3 linked regions of the Danio rerio genome follow. The protein of the gene in region 1 interacts with the protein of each later gene in a biochemical or structural test. Links are inferred from orthologs where the notes say so. Each region holds a gene or a part of one and is shown on either strand. Other genes may lie near its edges.

Region 1 (4,674 bases):
ATTGATATCCATTTTTGGAGTGCAAATTACCAGTTGTAAACGCTGTAACCGGAAGTTCTAAACATTCGACCGGAAGACGCTGGTCGGTATAACGCTTTCTATGCAGCAGCCAAGAAAAAGGTCTAACATTATTGGGATAAATCCACCTTTATACAAAAGATGCCATGTTCTTTTTGGTAACCTTTTCCCTCAGCCATCGGAGATTCAATTGTAGTATATAATTATAGTCTTGGCTTGTTTGGGTTTGGATTTAATCAAGTGTGTGTTGATCTGCAGTATATTTAACATTTCTGATCCTTGATTTTGATTTGATCGGTGTTGCCAGATATAGCTGACTTTCCAGCTCAAAAGATGTCCAAAACCTGCCCCCACACCCAAATCTTGCCTTAAATACTAGAATATTAAGCAATTCCAGCGTTATTGATGTGACATTTGCAGTAAAAACTCGAAACATAAATTCACAGAGAAAGTATAACAGTATATTGAAACATCTGTTTATATTTTTTTAAAGCAACTAAAGCACAGAGTTACAGGATCAGAACAATATCAATCCGTAAACATATTTTATATTTTAAATGAGGAAAATAAACATGCGTTATGGATGTGACCAAAAAGGTCTGCAAGTTTACAGTGCACAACATGCTTTGTAGAAATTCAGTGAATTAAACTGCACAACCCCAAAAAAATTAATGCCAACTAAAAGGGTAAGAGTTGACTCACTATAGAATAAACATGATTGATTTGATTTGATGTTTTTGCATTTATAAGAGAAAATCTTGGTTATGGATGGGACACTTTTTCGTTATGGAAGTGACAGATGTGAAATTGCCACTTGTGTGACTTTAGTAAATCAGATATAATAGTTTGAAAACACTGACAAATACTTTTTGAGCATTTGTGCAGTACTTTAAAATACAAGCCTACACACACACAAAAAAGGGGGTTTTGCTATTTTTTTCATGGCAAGGTTGACATTGCATGGAATTGCTTTATTTTATTTAAATTTATTTACATGAAATAAATTATATTATTAATTAATAAACCGAGTTACTGTAACTGTCATAATTTTTTTTACCAACCAGCAGTCAAAGAACCACAACATAACCGGATCACATCAAAACACACGCTGCACTTATTGCTATGTAGATTACACTACCTAGAGTTTCACTTTCAAAATGGGGTAAAAAATCGTCCCATTTGGTGTTTTAAATTCTTTTGAATAGAATTAGGTGCTGCTTGTTAATTAGACAGTACTTCTATGTTTGTTCTTGCTGTCAATTGTGGAAAAAAAAGATAGATAAGTGTAATGATGAACTGCTGTGAGTTTAACTGCGAAGGGGAGTCAGATTTGTCCTGGGTGTCAGATTTTGATACAACTTTCCTTCACCTCCTGTTGCGGGTGAGCCCAAGGGGTTTGCACTATGCATTGGTCACTAGAAACTGAATGGAGTAGGAGCACGCAGTTATGTTTTGTTAAATAAGTTGCATATAAAATTTACGCTTTAAAACCGCCCACATTTTGTCAACCCGGCTATGCCATTTTTTTACAGACACATGCCCATTCTGGCAACACTGGAAGTGTACAATATACTTTTACAAAATAAAAGTGCTATTAAAAAAAAAAATCTGTAAAAATATAGAAAGCAAATTTTTATCATACTGTTTTGACATTTTTTTTCACAGTAGTTATATGAAACCTCAGAGCATTACTTGCTGTATATTTAATGTTTTAGAAGGTAATGTCCTGATTTAGTTCACCATGAACATTCTGTTAATAATTACTCACCCTCATGTAGTTCCAAAGACCTTCATTTTTCTTTGGAACCCAAATGTGAAGACATTTTAGATGAAATCTCACATCCTCCTTAAACAGCAGTCCAGAAAAGCAAACAAAATCATTGCAAAAAATATTCATATGACTTCAGTGGTTCAAAAATAACCATATAAAGCTCTGAGTACACTTTTATTTGCCAAAAAACTGTAAAAACAAGTTTTTGTCTGTTTTCCATGTCAGGCCGCGCTTACTTCCGGCAGTACAACGATTATGTGTTTTGCTGCTTTACAATGTATAGCTGGTAGTAAACATACAACCTGGCGCCCTGATGAGAAGATATAGAGGGAAAAAATGTTAATCGAGCTATACCTGTCTGTGGAGGATGAGGGAGCTCTCTGGTTTGATCAGAAGTTTTATCATTTGTTTACCGAATAATATGAACAAATGCCTCAAGGGATTAGAGTGATATGAGGGTGAGAAATTGATCACATAACTTTTAACTTTGGGTGAACTGTTCTTTAAGTTTGATGCCTCATCTTTGATCCGTACACATAACTGATATTTAAACACTTAAAGTTATTAATGGTGTTGTTCTGTGCAGCGGGACATATCACTCTAGAGACGAGAGCACAGACAGTGGCCTGAGCATGAGCAGTTACAGCGTCCCTCGCACTCCAGACGACTTCCTCAACAGTGTGGATGAGATGGAGACAGGTACAGTACTGGACTACTTATAATGAAAATGCATAACAATTTATATCCTCTGATAGAAAATCAATTGGGCCTAAAATTAAATGCTAAATGCTACGCTGTTAAACCAAATGTATTGTGATGTCACAGTTGAAATTGTCAATTCATTGCATTATGTTTAGGGTTGCTTGTTTCATCAGATTTACTTTAAATATTGCTGAATGCATGCTGGGTAATTCTCTCATCATGAATAATAAAAAGTGCAGATATGATCAATGAGATTTGTTTCACAGAGTTAGCATTTATAACTATAGATTTGTACGAAACTCATTAAATGGGCCAACATTTGTTTTGTCTGTGCAGAAAGAATAGGAAGTGTTGTTTTTTTAAACACAAAAACATTAGCTGCGTCCCAACTTGCATACTTATGCACTATTCTACGTCATTTTGTAGTATAAATAGTGTAAGTAGTGTGTTCACACTGAAAACTCTAAAAATAATACATGCACTTTAATTACCCGGATGGTGCACTCATTCAGCCGCTAAAACGAAGTGTGTAATGATGGACACTTCACACGCTCAAAGACTGCAGGTTTGCTCAAGTAGCGGAAGGGGCGGAGCTATCGGGCGCACATGTTGAATAACTTTATATATTATGGATTGTGAAAGCAAAATTCTCCTACGAGAGTGATTATAGCGCCTCCCGATGGTGAATGCGGTTATACTCACGGCAGGTATTATTTGATAATTCGGTCGTTTATTTCACTGATTTGGCAACCGTCAAACGTCATCAGGGAAACGGTTTGAATTTCTGCTTAGTAAAAAAACATTAGTGCTCCATTTGAGACGACACTACATACATATACTATCCTGGTGAGTGTGTAAGTGCATAAGTACATAGTGCATGAGTGTATAGTGTGCCATTTGGGACGCAGCTATTATTATATGTGACTCATTCCAGAGTTGTGGGGACATTTCAAGCATTTTCCTTAAACAGGAATGATATATTTGCAGTGAAGTGAATCTGATAATAATGTAAAATAATGCATAATTCTTGAATGTAATAGGCAACATTTGCTTGTTAATTGCAGTTAAACGTTTTAAACCATAAAAGCCATTCTGTGCTTTAGCTCAAGATGCTAACCTTAAAAAAATAGATATTACAGGGCATGCCAAAAACAGGATTTCATGCATTTCCATCATATTATTGTTTTTAAAAATCTGAAATTCGCTGAAATTTCACAATAACAGAATTTACATATATTAAATATACAATTGGTGTATCCTAAACCAGATTTTTTTTTTCTATCAGTGCTTTACAGATCATTGTCATGACTTTTTGTTACAGACAAAATATGTCATTTTTTTAAAACAGTCATAAAATACATAATAATAATGCATGAAACAGATGTTAATGCAATGAAAAAATTACTTTGACTGATTTTTGTGATAATAATTGAAGCTGTTTGTTTGATTCAGGCGGTGGTGACTCAAAATAGGAGAGGCTTTGAGTTATAATAATAAAAACAGCAATAATCTAATAAGAATCCTTATTACTGTCAAGAGCAAGAATCAAGTGTATTCAATCATTTTAATCGTGTTTAATTGAGTTTTGTATAAATATACAATAATACTTATTGCGGCATTGCACTTTGGACAATCACAGTCTTGGCTCACAGGCATTTCCCAAACTCTGTATAGTGCAGCCCTAAAGGAAACGTTCATTTCTGACCCCTCTCTCCTTTCTCAGGTGACACCCTCGGCCCCGGCTCAATGGCAACACAGCCCAGCCGATTCCCCGATTACCTAGACGCCATCCCGGGCACGGACGTGGACCTAGGCACCCTTGAGGGCGAGAGCATGGCGGTGGAGGGCGAGGAGCTGATGCCCAGCCTGCAGGAAGCCCTAAGCTCCGACATCCTCAACGACATGGAGTCAGTGCTGGCAGCTACCAAGATCGACAAGGAGAACTTTCTAACCTGGCTATAGAGAGCCCGAACCCAGCACTACACCTTCTCTTTCATACCGAACTGCTGCCCAATCCAATCTGTGAAGGATCTGTAGATGCTTTGAGTCGACAAAAGACATTTCACCTTTTTGTTTTTGGTTCTCTCTCGTTTTATTCACAACATTTGGCCCAATTGGTTTTAAAAGCCGAACCTTTGGTCCTTTTTTTTATTCTTCTTTTCATGTCTGCATCCTCAAGGCTG
Region 2 (4,984 bases), on another chromosome or scaffold:
AAAAACCATTTTAAGGTCAGTATTATTAGTCCCTTCTAATTCTTTTTTTCGACTGTCTACAGAACAAACCATCTTTATACAATGACTTGCCTAATTACCCTAGGCTTCCTAGTTAACCTGATTAGCCTAGTTAAGCCTTTAAATGTCACTTTAAGCTGTATAGAAGTGTCTTGAAAAATATCTAGTCAAATATTATTTACTGTCATCATGGTAAAGATGAAATAAATCAGTTATTAGAAATTAAAACTATTATGTTTAGAAATGTGTTGAAGAAATATTCTCTCTGTTAAACAGATAATAATAAAAAAAAACATTAAAACATTAATAGGGGCTAATAATTGTGACTTTAACTAGACGTGACATTTGAGAGAGAGAAAGATTATTCTGATTATTTTGTTTTTATTTATTTATTATTATTATAATTATTTTATTTATTTATTAATTATTTTTAAATGATTTTTGTTATTACATTATTTACCTACTACTACTACTACTATTTACTAAGGTTTTTTGACAATACCAGGCAAAAACTTGTGAGTCAGTTTTTAATGTTTAAAAAAAATTGCGACAATTATTAAAATGTAAAAAATTGTTAAATTATTCAATATTTTTATAACATTATAAATAACTGCTTTATTATTGTATGTAGTTTCAAATTAAATTATACATCCAGTCATTACTGCTTTTATTACCATTACCATTAACAATAACAACAATTTTTATTTCAATTATATATATATATATATATATATATATATATATATATATATATATATATATATATATATATATATATATATATATATATATAATTTTTTTTTTTTTTTTTAGAGTGATTTTTAAAGCATCATGACTCATGACTGGAGTAATGAAGCTAAAAATCTTTAAATTCACTGGAATAAAAAATAGAGAGAGAAAGAAAGAGAACTACACGGAAATACTACTGTAAAATGTCTTAACCATTTTATTTTATCGGATATTTTTACTTTTTTTTTCTTTCATAATATTTTTCTTTTTTGCCGTTTTCTTTTCTGTATATACAGTTAAAATCAGAATTATTAAACCCACCTTGAATTGTTTCTATTTTTTTTTATATTTCCCAAATTATGTTTAACAGAGCAAGGAAATTTTCACAGAATTTCTGATAATATATATGTTTTAATATATATATATATATATATATATATATATATATATATATATATATATATATATATATATATATATATATATATATATATTTTTTTTTTTTTTTTTTTCCAAGAGAAAGTCTTATTTGTTTTTTTTCTTTTTTAAAAACCATTTTAACGTCAAAATTATTAGCCTCTTTAAGATATATATTTTCGATAGTCTACAGAACAAAAGTTGTTGACATTTCAGTTGGCTTCTTTTGTAGCTCAGCAACAATATAAAGAAACAATAAGTTACAATAAATTTGAAAAGTCATATCTGTCAAAGGCATTCGCCCTAACCACCTCCCCATTATTCTCCCTCTCTTTTCAGATTGGACTGTGGGCCAAATCAAAGGTTAAAATCGGCCAACTGAGCCTTACTTTGGGCATCTATTATATAGAGGATGAAGAATTCATTTGCATAATGAAATAACTCAACTTTTTTACATTTTAATAAATTATGTTTCATTATTGTTGAAAAGTTTATCAAAATCACAATTTATGAAAATAAAATGCACACATAATCTTTAAAGGAACATAACTGTCAGCTGTTGACCGACAGGTGACACAAAATTGCATATTACAATGATTTCTAATGGATTGTGTAACCAAAGCGGAGTTTAGTGATTTATGAAGCTTAGCCATTAAAGGAGCTGTTGCTGGGTAAACATTGCAACTTTTGTATAAGCAGACACAACTTTCATTTATAGAATCAAAACCAAAAGTGTTTAGTTTATTGCGTTATCTTGTTTTGGATATCTATAATGAAATAAGTTCTCTTTTTTAAGGACTACCGAGACCCCAGGGCAGTTTCTTTCACAAGGAAATGGAAATAACTGAAGAGAAGCTGTGGGTGAACAGAATACTAATTTCTACTCTCTCTAAGAGTGCACTGGGCTCAACTTGTGATACAGAGAAAGCCTTTGAGCACTGTTTTTTTTCCTTCTCCAGAGTTTTATTTTTATTTCCTTTGGATAGTTGGGATCAATTACACCAACACTTTATCATGTGCTTCAAAAACATTTCTAGGACTGTCATGGTACCAAATTTTCAGTTACCAATGCCAAGGAATTTGCAAATATTTCATTCATTCATTCATTTTCCTTCGACTTGGCCATTTATTTTTTCAGGGGTCACCACGGCAGAATGAACCATATACTATTCCAGCCGCAACCCAGTACTGGGAAACACCCATACACTCTCAAATTCACACACACTCATACACTACGGCCAATTTAGCTTACCCAATTCACCTATACCGCATATCGCTGGACTGTGGTGGAAACCACAAGACCTGAAGGAAACCAACGCTAACACAGGGAGAACATGCAAACTCCACACAGTAATGCCAACTGGCTCAAATTATTTTTTGTTACCTATAAAAAAGGCTGTGTCTATTATAAAAAATGTTTATAGATCAGATCCTCTCATTTAAGCCCTTGGTTTACCTGCGCGGCTGTTGATCAAGTTTAGTTCAGTCACAGCAGGCTGTCAAGTACTGTTTGTGTTTGGTTTACTGAATCACGCATGTGCAGAATTATCGGTTAACCGCTTCTAAATGTGATCTCAGTGTAACATATCTGTTCTAATAACTGAATAACAGTATATATATTGGTTTATTTCGAGTCAGACGGGGGTATTAGGACTGTTAAAAAGTTAGTAGTTAGTGATTAAGAGTGCTTACTGAAGACGCAAATCATTTCAAATGATTCAGTTCGATTTGGTGAACTAGTTCAACCGGTTCACTTAGAAGATCCAGTTAAAAAGATATGTTCGCGATCACACTCACTAATACAGAAATAAAAGCCATTATTGGGCACAAATGTGTTAAAATAATAACTTTCAGTCTCTGTAATTAATGCTGTTGCCATGCTACTGTCATGTCCACTCGTTGTTTTTGTCACGGGAGCAACAGCGAGGATAACTGACTCGATCTGGCCAATGGCAGCTGGATGACAGACTATGAGGTGCCGTATGGGTCAAACACCTGGCACTGCGAAGTAAACAGATTTACTTCTAAAAGGCTTACAGTAAGATTATGCATTAAATATATTTACAAAGATGAAACGAAGGTCGTTTTTGCTTTAATTGTAGTTAGTTTCAGTTAGTTTTGCACAGCATGCACACAAAACAGTTTCAGTTAGTTATAGTTTTTTGTAAGAACTCGCTTTTATTTCTATTTCAGCTAATGAAAATTAATTCAAACTTTCATTTTTTTCGTTTGTTTTCGTTAACTATAATTATCTTGGCACCTACTGGTCCATATATATATCAGCTGATAACGTTCATTCAATCGATTGATAACATTTGAAGCAGGTGTTTCACCAATACCTCGCTTCTCGTGACGTACCTGTACCAGTCATACAGCTCAATCTGGGTTGCCAGATCCTCCAGGGAGACGCCGAGGTTGCTCCAAAAGGGGATGTCGGCCATCTGACGAACCAGCTCGCTCCGCTGATCCTGCAGTTTCTGAATGATGGACAAATAGTCTGTGTGTTTTGCATACTGCTCCTTTAGTATCCGCAGGTTTTCATCCACAGTTTGGCTCTGAGCTGAAGTACTTTCTGACACCTACAGAAAACACATTTGATTTGTAAGCGCGTTTCTCGAGCGGCAGATCACACAGTGATGCATTGGTATATAAGCATGTGTCAGTGAGATTGTAAACCTAAGTGTTTTGGAGGGATGTGAATAAAACTATATCAGTGCCTCACCAGTCTGTGAACTCCTGACACGGTGCGGTTGGCATGCCGGAGAGAGTAGGTAAGCCGACTGACGCCGTCACAGGTCTCGCCATTCCCATAGAAACCAACAGCAATGCCAGCACTGAAAGAGACAAAGAGAGAGTGCTGTGAGGAGGAGCAGGACTGGGGCATGAAGGCCTTCAGGAGAACTCAGAGAACACTGAGGAATAGCTCAGTAATGTCTTAAACCATGAAGGCAGAAGGCAGATGACACACACACATGACTGTTACTTATATGCATTCAGGATAATGTTTTACAGTAAGTCACTTCCCACTCTGTTTTACTACCATTGACCTGAACATCAAAAGAAAAAAGAAGTGACCAACTTTGGTTCCTGCTGACTTGTATTGTACTTCATCTTGTCACAAGATGTTAAGTGAAGTTTTCATTACATCAACTTTTGGGTCCTTCAGGTTTGTCATTCAGTTATACAAGTTTTAAAAGCACAGTGCTTCCCACAGCTTTGAAATATACTTGTGGAGGTAGATAGATTGAAACACCTTTTACCCACAGCACACAAGTAGTTACCTTTTTTTTTAAACACTAATTTTATTATTATCTGTTTTGAACTTGTTTTCTTTTCAATGGGTTAAAGTAAAACAAAAAAAGACTGTTGAAATAAATTTTAAAAATCTATTATTTCTCTTTTACACTATTCAGGAGCCCACTGACAGGTCAAATCTGATTCTCTTTATCTCTCATTCAAGGTCAGACTGCATTATTGGCATGACATTTAGTACAATATTGCCAAAGCATTTTAGATGTATAAAATATGCAATACATTGACATTATCAAATTAATAACATATACAGCAAATGATACATAAATGACAGGAAAGGGAATAACAACAGACATCTCTAAAAATAATCATAATTACAAGAATAAATTGTGTAGATTATTTAAATAAGACAAATAAGCTGATTCTCCATTTCCAATGGTGTACAAATATTCTGCAGAGATTAAGATGTAATTCCGTCCTCTCTGGGTATTTAGCAAACTTTTTCTGATTCGTTTAGATTAAAGAATTAATTATTTGATGTCTCTCTCGCTCTTGTGTTTGTGCGCAT
Region 3 (4,984 bases), on another chromosome or scaffold:
ATTGCTCACAAACAGACATATACTGACATACCAACACATATCACCAGAATACATACACAGACAACGTTTATCCACACCTGTGGAAAACATACAGAAACAAACACACATTTAATGGGACCAATTTACAGACACGCACAGCGCACATCATTGCTCCTGCTTACAAAGAGAGACAAACTCACACACACACACATTCACCTTTGACTTTGTCTCCCTTGTTGAAGCTGATTTCGCGGTCACCCTGGGCCGAGTGTGAGCGAGTGGCAACAAAAACTCGGCCAGGAACGGCGCTGTAGAGACGCCGCCGCTGCCCGCTGGCTGTGCCCTGACTACTGATGGATCCCGCTCTACACAATGGCACAGGTATCAGACAACAGGGTTATCATTCATTTATTATTGGCTTTATTCATTCAAGTGTCTGTCTTCATCGGATGTGAGTGACTATACTGGAAGTTAAATAGCTTTTTGGTGTAATAAATTCTAAGAAATTTCCCGTCATCATTTTAAAATTTTAATATTAAATGTCAAGAATTGCCAAGTAAAATTTTTAATATTTACACATTTACTTGATGTAATAAATGAAAGAGTTAATTTACTAGTAATATTAAAATGTTTTCTAATCATTACAGATAAGCCTGGTAGAATTAAGTACATTTTAATCGAAAAAGCATTGACTTGGTTAGCATAAGCAGGAATCCCTACAAAAATGCCACAATTCAATTAGAAAACAATTCATTAGAATGACTGCACAGAGGCACTTTATCATTAGTTTTTGGGGAAAAGAATATGACTTTTTTTGCTTTATTTAATATTGAAAAGTTGCTGTGTAATGTTTTCATCTCTGATACATTTAAAACTCGATTATTTTTTTAAACTAGTAATGATAACATAATTATACACTGAAAAAAATTATTCAAAGATGATTCCTTGGATTTACTAAGTTTTTTTTACGTTAAAAAATTTTACGTTATTAAATATAATATGTTTGTTGAAATTCAACACAAATAGGTTGTTTGCAACAGTTTTGCAGACATCACTTTTTTCAGTGCAGGAAGCAGCATAAAAAGTGAAAATATTACAGAAAAAATATAAAATAACTGGTAACTAATGTGTTTATTTAATTTGATTGAAGCAAAGTTCCTCTTGCTAAAAACAATTTAAATTTGATTTATTCGAATAAATCTAGATTAAAAATGAAAGATAATCAGTAATCAATATTTATGAGTGTTCGGGTAACATTAAGTAACATTAACAGTTTATTTGATAATGACAAGTTAATTGGACTTGATTTAAGATTAGTCAAACTCACTTGAAAAAATATTATCAGGATGTTATCAAGTATTTCTTAGTCTGTGTTTTTCAATGTATTAATGATGATTTAGGCATAGAATCCACAAACACTGTCAGATGCCAAAAGGACAATAAAAAAAAATGGTACCAAGATATGTTCACAGTGCAAGTCTTTCCAAAGTTTGGAAGGTCAGTCAATGATTCATCTATTATAAATTTTAAATCTTGTTAAAGCAAAAAATAAACAAATATTGTAAATAAAGCATTAAGGATTTAAATGCTTTTTGATTAAATGTATTAAAATATTGGTGTCATGCAGCAAGTTGCAGAGAATGCAGTGAACACCATGAAATTAGGATTTGACTAAACAGTAGTCATAAATAGCTATCGAGTTTTCTCAATTTAAAGGGATAGTTCACCAAAAAAGGAAAATTTACTTACCATTTACCCATCCTCTAGAGTAATCTTAAAATTGTTTGTGCTTCTTTATTCTGCTGGACACAAAAGACGATATTCTGCAGAATGTTAGAAACTGGTAGCCATTGACATCCGAATTAGAAAAATACAAACCATAGTTCAAACTCTATGGTAGTCAGTGGTTACATGTTTTTAAAATTATTCAAAATATCTTCTTTTGTGTTCAGCTGAAAAAAGAAACGCAAACCGGTTTTGAACAGGTCAAGGGTGAGTAAATGATGACACAATTTTCCGTTTTGGTTGAACTATCCCTTTAAATGAGTAGGCTTGGATCTGAAAAATAGTATTGCTTGTGCAAGAGCTTAACAACTAGATAATGTCCTTTCTTCTTGCTCTTCCTCACCCTTGTCTTCCACGTGTTTGCCGGCTCCGATCGTCCCGGTCACCTGTTCGGCCACGAGATGGGGAACGTGTTCGGGCTCCACGGGGACTGCTGGAGCTACGTAAGGTGCCGCCATGCTTTAGACCCTGAGATATACATGTTATTATGATAAGCGGTAGTGTAATTATGATCTCAGATCAACCTCAGGGTAAGTACTTAGTGCAAATCAACAGTATCTATGCATACAGTGTGACAACAATGAAATAAGGTTTTGCTGGTTATCTTGACTAGATAGCCCTTTAAAGGGTCATTTTTTCAGAATTTCTTTCTTCTGTTGAACCCAAAATAAGATATTATAAAGAATGTTGGAAAAATGCAGCCATTGATTTATATAACCCTTACAAAGAATAGAACAAAACATAGCTGTCAATTACTTCAGCCTACAATAATAATAATTTAATAATAAAAAATAGGTCATTCAGCAGTAAAACAAACGAAGAACTTTTAAGCAAATGTTTCTGTAGGAAAGAAATTAAATGCTATTACTAAAGAAAAAGATAAAAGTTTCATTGAGATGGATTGTTGGTGATTGTATAAGTGTTAATGGCCAGACAGAGTAGCTGTACATGAACAATGGAAAATTAAGACCTGTTAAAAATTATTTAAGACCTTCAACACAATATTTCAGTAGATTTAAGTTGTTTTTAAGGCCTCAAATTTTGATATTTAAGACATTTTAAGACTTTTTTAACACCCTGAGGATATCCTGAATATATTGTGCAGCCCTATATTGTACACTACCACTCAAGTTTTGCTAATGGATAGCTTTTTATGAATACAAAAACAACAGCATTTGGAATATTTATAAAACACAATAACAACAACTAAATCATTCATCGACTGATCAATTACCTGTACAGAGACGATGCTTGATCCTGCAGCATTGGGAAAGGCAATCCAGTCTGGCACATTCATGCTGTTATCACTGTTGGCCCGTAAAAAGGGGTGCGGATGAGGCAGTCCAAGTGTCCGTGAGCTCTCCCTCCTTTGCGGGGCATATTTAGGAGACTCCAAAAAGGGGACTGACAAAAAAGTAAGTGAGTGAGTAAAGATGGAGGGAGAGACATACAGTAAGTACACTCCAGCTGCCCAATGGCTTTCAATATTCATTCCATGTGTACAATCACACATGTATCATCTGTATTAAAACATCATTAAGCATCACGACTTCAGCAAATATCCCCTTCTGAGTGTGTAAGGAGCAGTGAACACTGCTTGGGGATTGTGTGAATCGCAACGCAGCTAAACAGAGACAAAAGTATCAAGTTCCAAATGTCACACAGCGTGAAGAGCAAACAAATGATCTCACACAGAATTAAAAATACCACCACAAACAAAAATCTGAGCTCCTTACCTACATCTGATTCACGGTGGTTTTTAATTATTTCTCCAAGCTCAAAATGGCCAGACATCACAGCCACCTAGAAAAGAAGTTCACACGCGCTTAATATTTGCATCTGTGAATGACGCACAATGACGCAAGGCTTGGGAATAACATAATATTAAACACACGCACACACACACACACACATGCATCCACTTTTCTTCATATTAAACACAAGCGCAGCTGGCTCTGTGGAGATGGTTGAGGTTGAAGTAAAACTCTTTTGGCTCACTACAGTTTAGCTCCACCTGGGACTCGCAACGCATACAGAAACACTTCACAGTAACAGATAACAAACATACAGCACAGCTAGTGAATCGCGTAATTTCTGTGCCCCTGGCGTCACCAGATGAAGTAAAAGAATGAAAATTGTTCACAAGTGCAACAATACACTGGTAATTTAATAACATTTTTTTACATTAAACTCACACATGCACTAAATAAGCCAGAAAAATTATAATACTTACATTAGTTATAATAATCATAAGGTTAATTTTATTATTATTATTATTATTATTATTATTATATTATAATTTTACAATTATAATAATTATTATTATTGATATTCATAAATACTTATCATTAAGTTAATTCTATTATTATTTATATATGTTATTTATGCGTTATGTGTGGAGTGTGGTTTGCTATACATAAAACAATAATAATAATTATTATTATTATTAATAAAAAAAAATTAGTTTATTTTATTATTATGCATGTGTTATTTATGTGTGGAGTGTGGATTGCTATTATTATTATTATTATTATTATTATTGTTATTATTAATAATATTCATATATACTTATCATTAAGTTAATGTTATTATTATTCATATGTGTTATTTATGTGTTGTGTGTGGAGTGTGGCTAGCTGTTTATACAATTATTATTATTGTTACTGATAATAATAATAATAATAAATAATAATTATCACTGAGTTAATTTTCTTATTATGTACATGTGTTATTTAAATGTTATGTGCTGAGTGTGGTTCGCTATATGTAAAATTATTATTATTATTATCAGACAGTGTGGAACTCCATTAAATTTTACTTTACTGTAAAAGAGCAGCTCAGACATTTGACCTAATACCTCCTTTAGTGTGTCATGGAATAAAAGGAAAATTTTGAAACAACTTGACAGTGTATAAATGATGGATGAATAAAAAAAGAATAATTCTAACAATAATTTTACACCATGCAAAGGGAGAAACTGGCACTAGTAAGAATCTGCATTTTAAATATTATTCCATATAAATTCCATATTATGTCTGCATATTAAACTTAAAATTCAACATCCTATTAAGTAGGTATTTCAACATAGGAAGCATAGATTTATTTCAGGTTCAATATCATACTCCTTTAACTTTATTTCCATTTCAGTTTGTAAAAATAATATTTCAGAAAAAAAAACACCAAAAAAGAAGATAGTCAACAACTATTTGTTCATTCATTT

What was found.
Region 2: the proteins of yap1 (region 1) and ttyh3a interact in a test that uses a peptide from one of them, tested with the Homo sapiens proteins (2 studies listed by BioGRID and IntAct, with this or other methods). The link is inferred for Danio rerio from reciprocal best matches to the Homo sapiens genes YAP1 and TTYH3.
Region 3: the proteins of yap1 (region 1) and shank1 interact in a test that uses a peptide from one of them, tested with the Homo sapiens proteins (2 studies listed by IntAct, with this or other methods). The link is inferred for Danio rerio from reciprocal best matches to the Homo sapiens genes YAP1 and SHANK1.

Annotation. Positions count from the first base shown.
Region 1 is NC_133193.1:40,209,556-40,214,229, reverse strand, and holds part of yap1 (transcriptional coactivator YAP1), read left to right. Parts: intron 1-2,375; coding exon 2,376-2,488; intron 2,489-4,214; coding exon 4,215-4,453; 3' UTR 4,454-4,674. UniProt on the Homo sapiens protein: Transcriptional regulator with dual roles as a coactivator and corepressor. Critical downstream regulatory target in the Hippo signaling pathway, crucial for organ size control and tumor suppression by restricting proliferation and promoting apoptosis.
Region 2 is NC_133178.1:41,050,566-41,055,549, forward strand, and holds part of ttyh3a (protein tweety homolog 3), read right to left. Parts: intron 3,999-4,984; coding exon 3,887-3,998; intron 3,744-3,886; coding exon 3,523-3,743; intron 1-3,522. UniProt on the Homo sapiens protein: Calcium-independent, swelling-dependent volume-regulated anion channel (VRAC-swell) which plays a pivotal role in the process of regulatory volume decrease (RVD) in the brain through the efflux of anions like chloride and organic osmolytes like glutamate.
Region 3 is NC_133178.1:29,537,157-29,542,140, forward strand, and holds part of shank1 (SH3 and multiple ankyrin repeat domains protein 1), read right to left. Parts: intron 3,568-4,984; coding exon 3,501-3,567; intron 3,169-3,500; coding exon 2,999-3,168; intron 2,233-2,998; coding exon 2,108-2,232; intron 345-2,107; coding exon 196-344; intron 1-195. UniProt on the Homo sapiens protein: Seems to be an adapter protein in the postsynaptic density (PSD) of excitatory synapses that interconnects receptors of the postsynaptic membrane including NMDA-type and metabotropic glutamate receptors via complexes with GKAP/PSD-95 and Homer, respectively, and the actin-based cytoskeleton.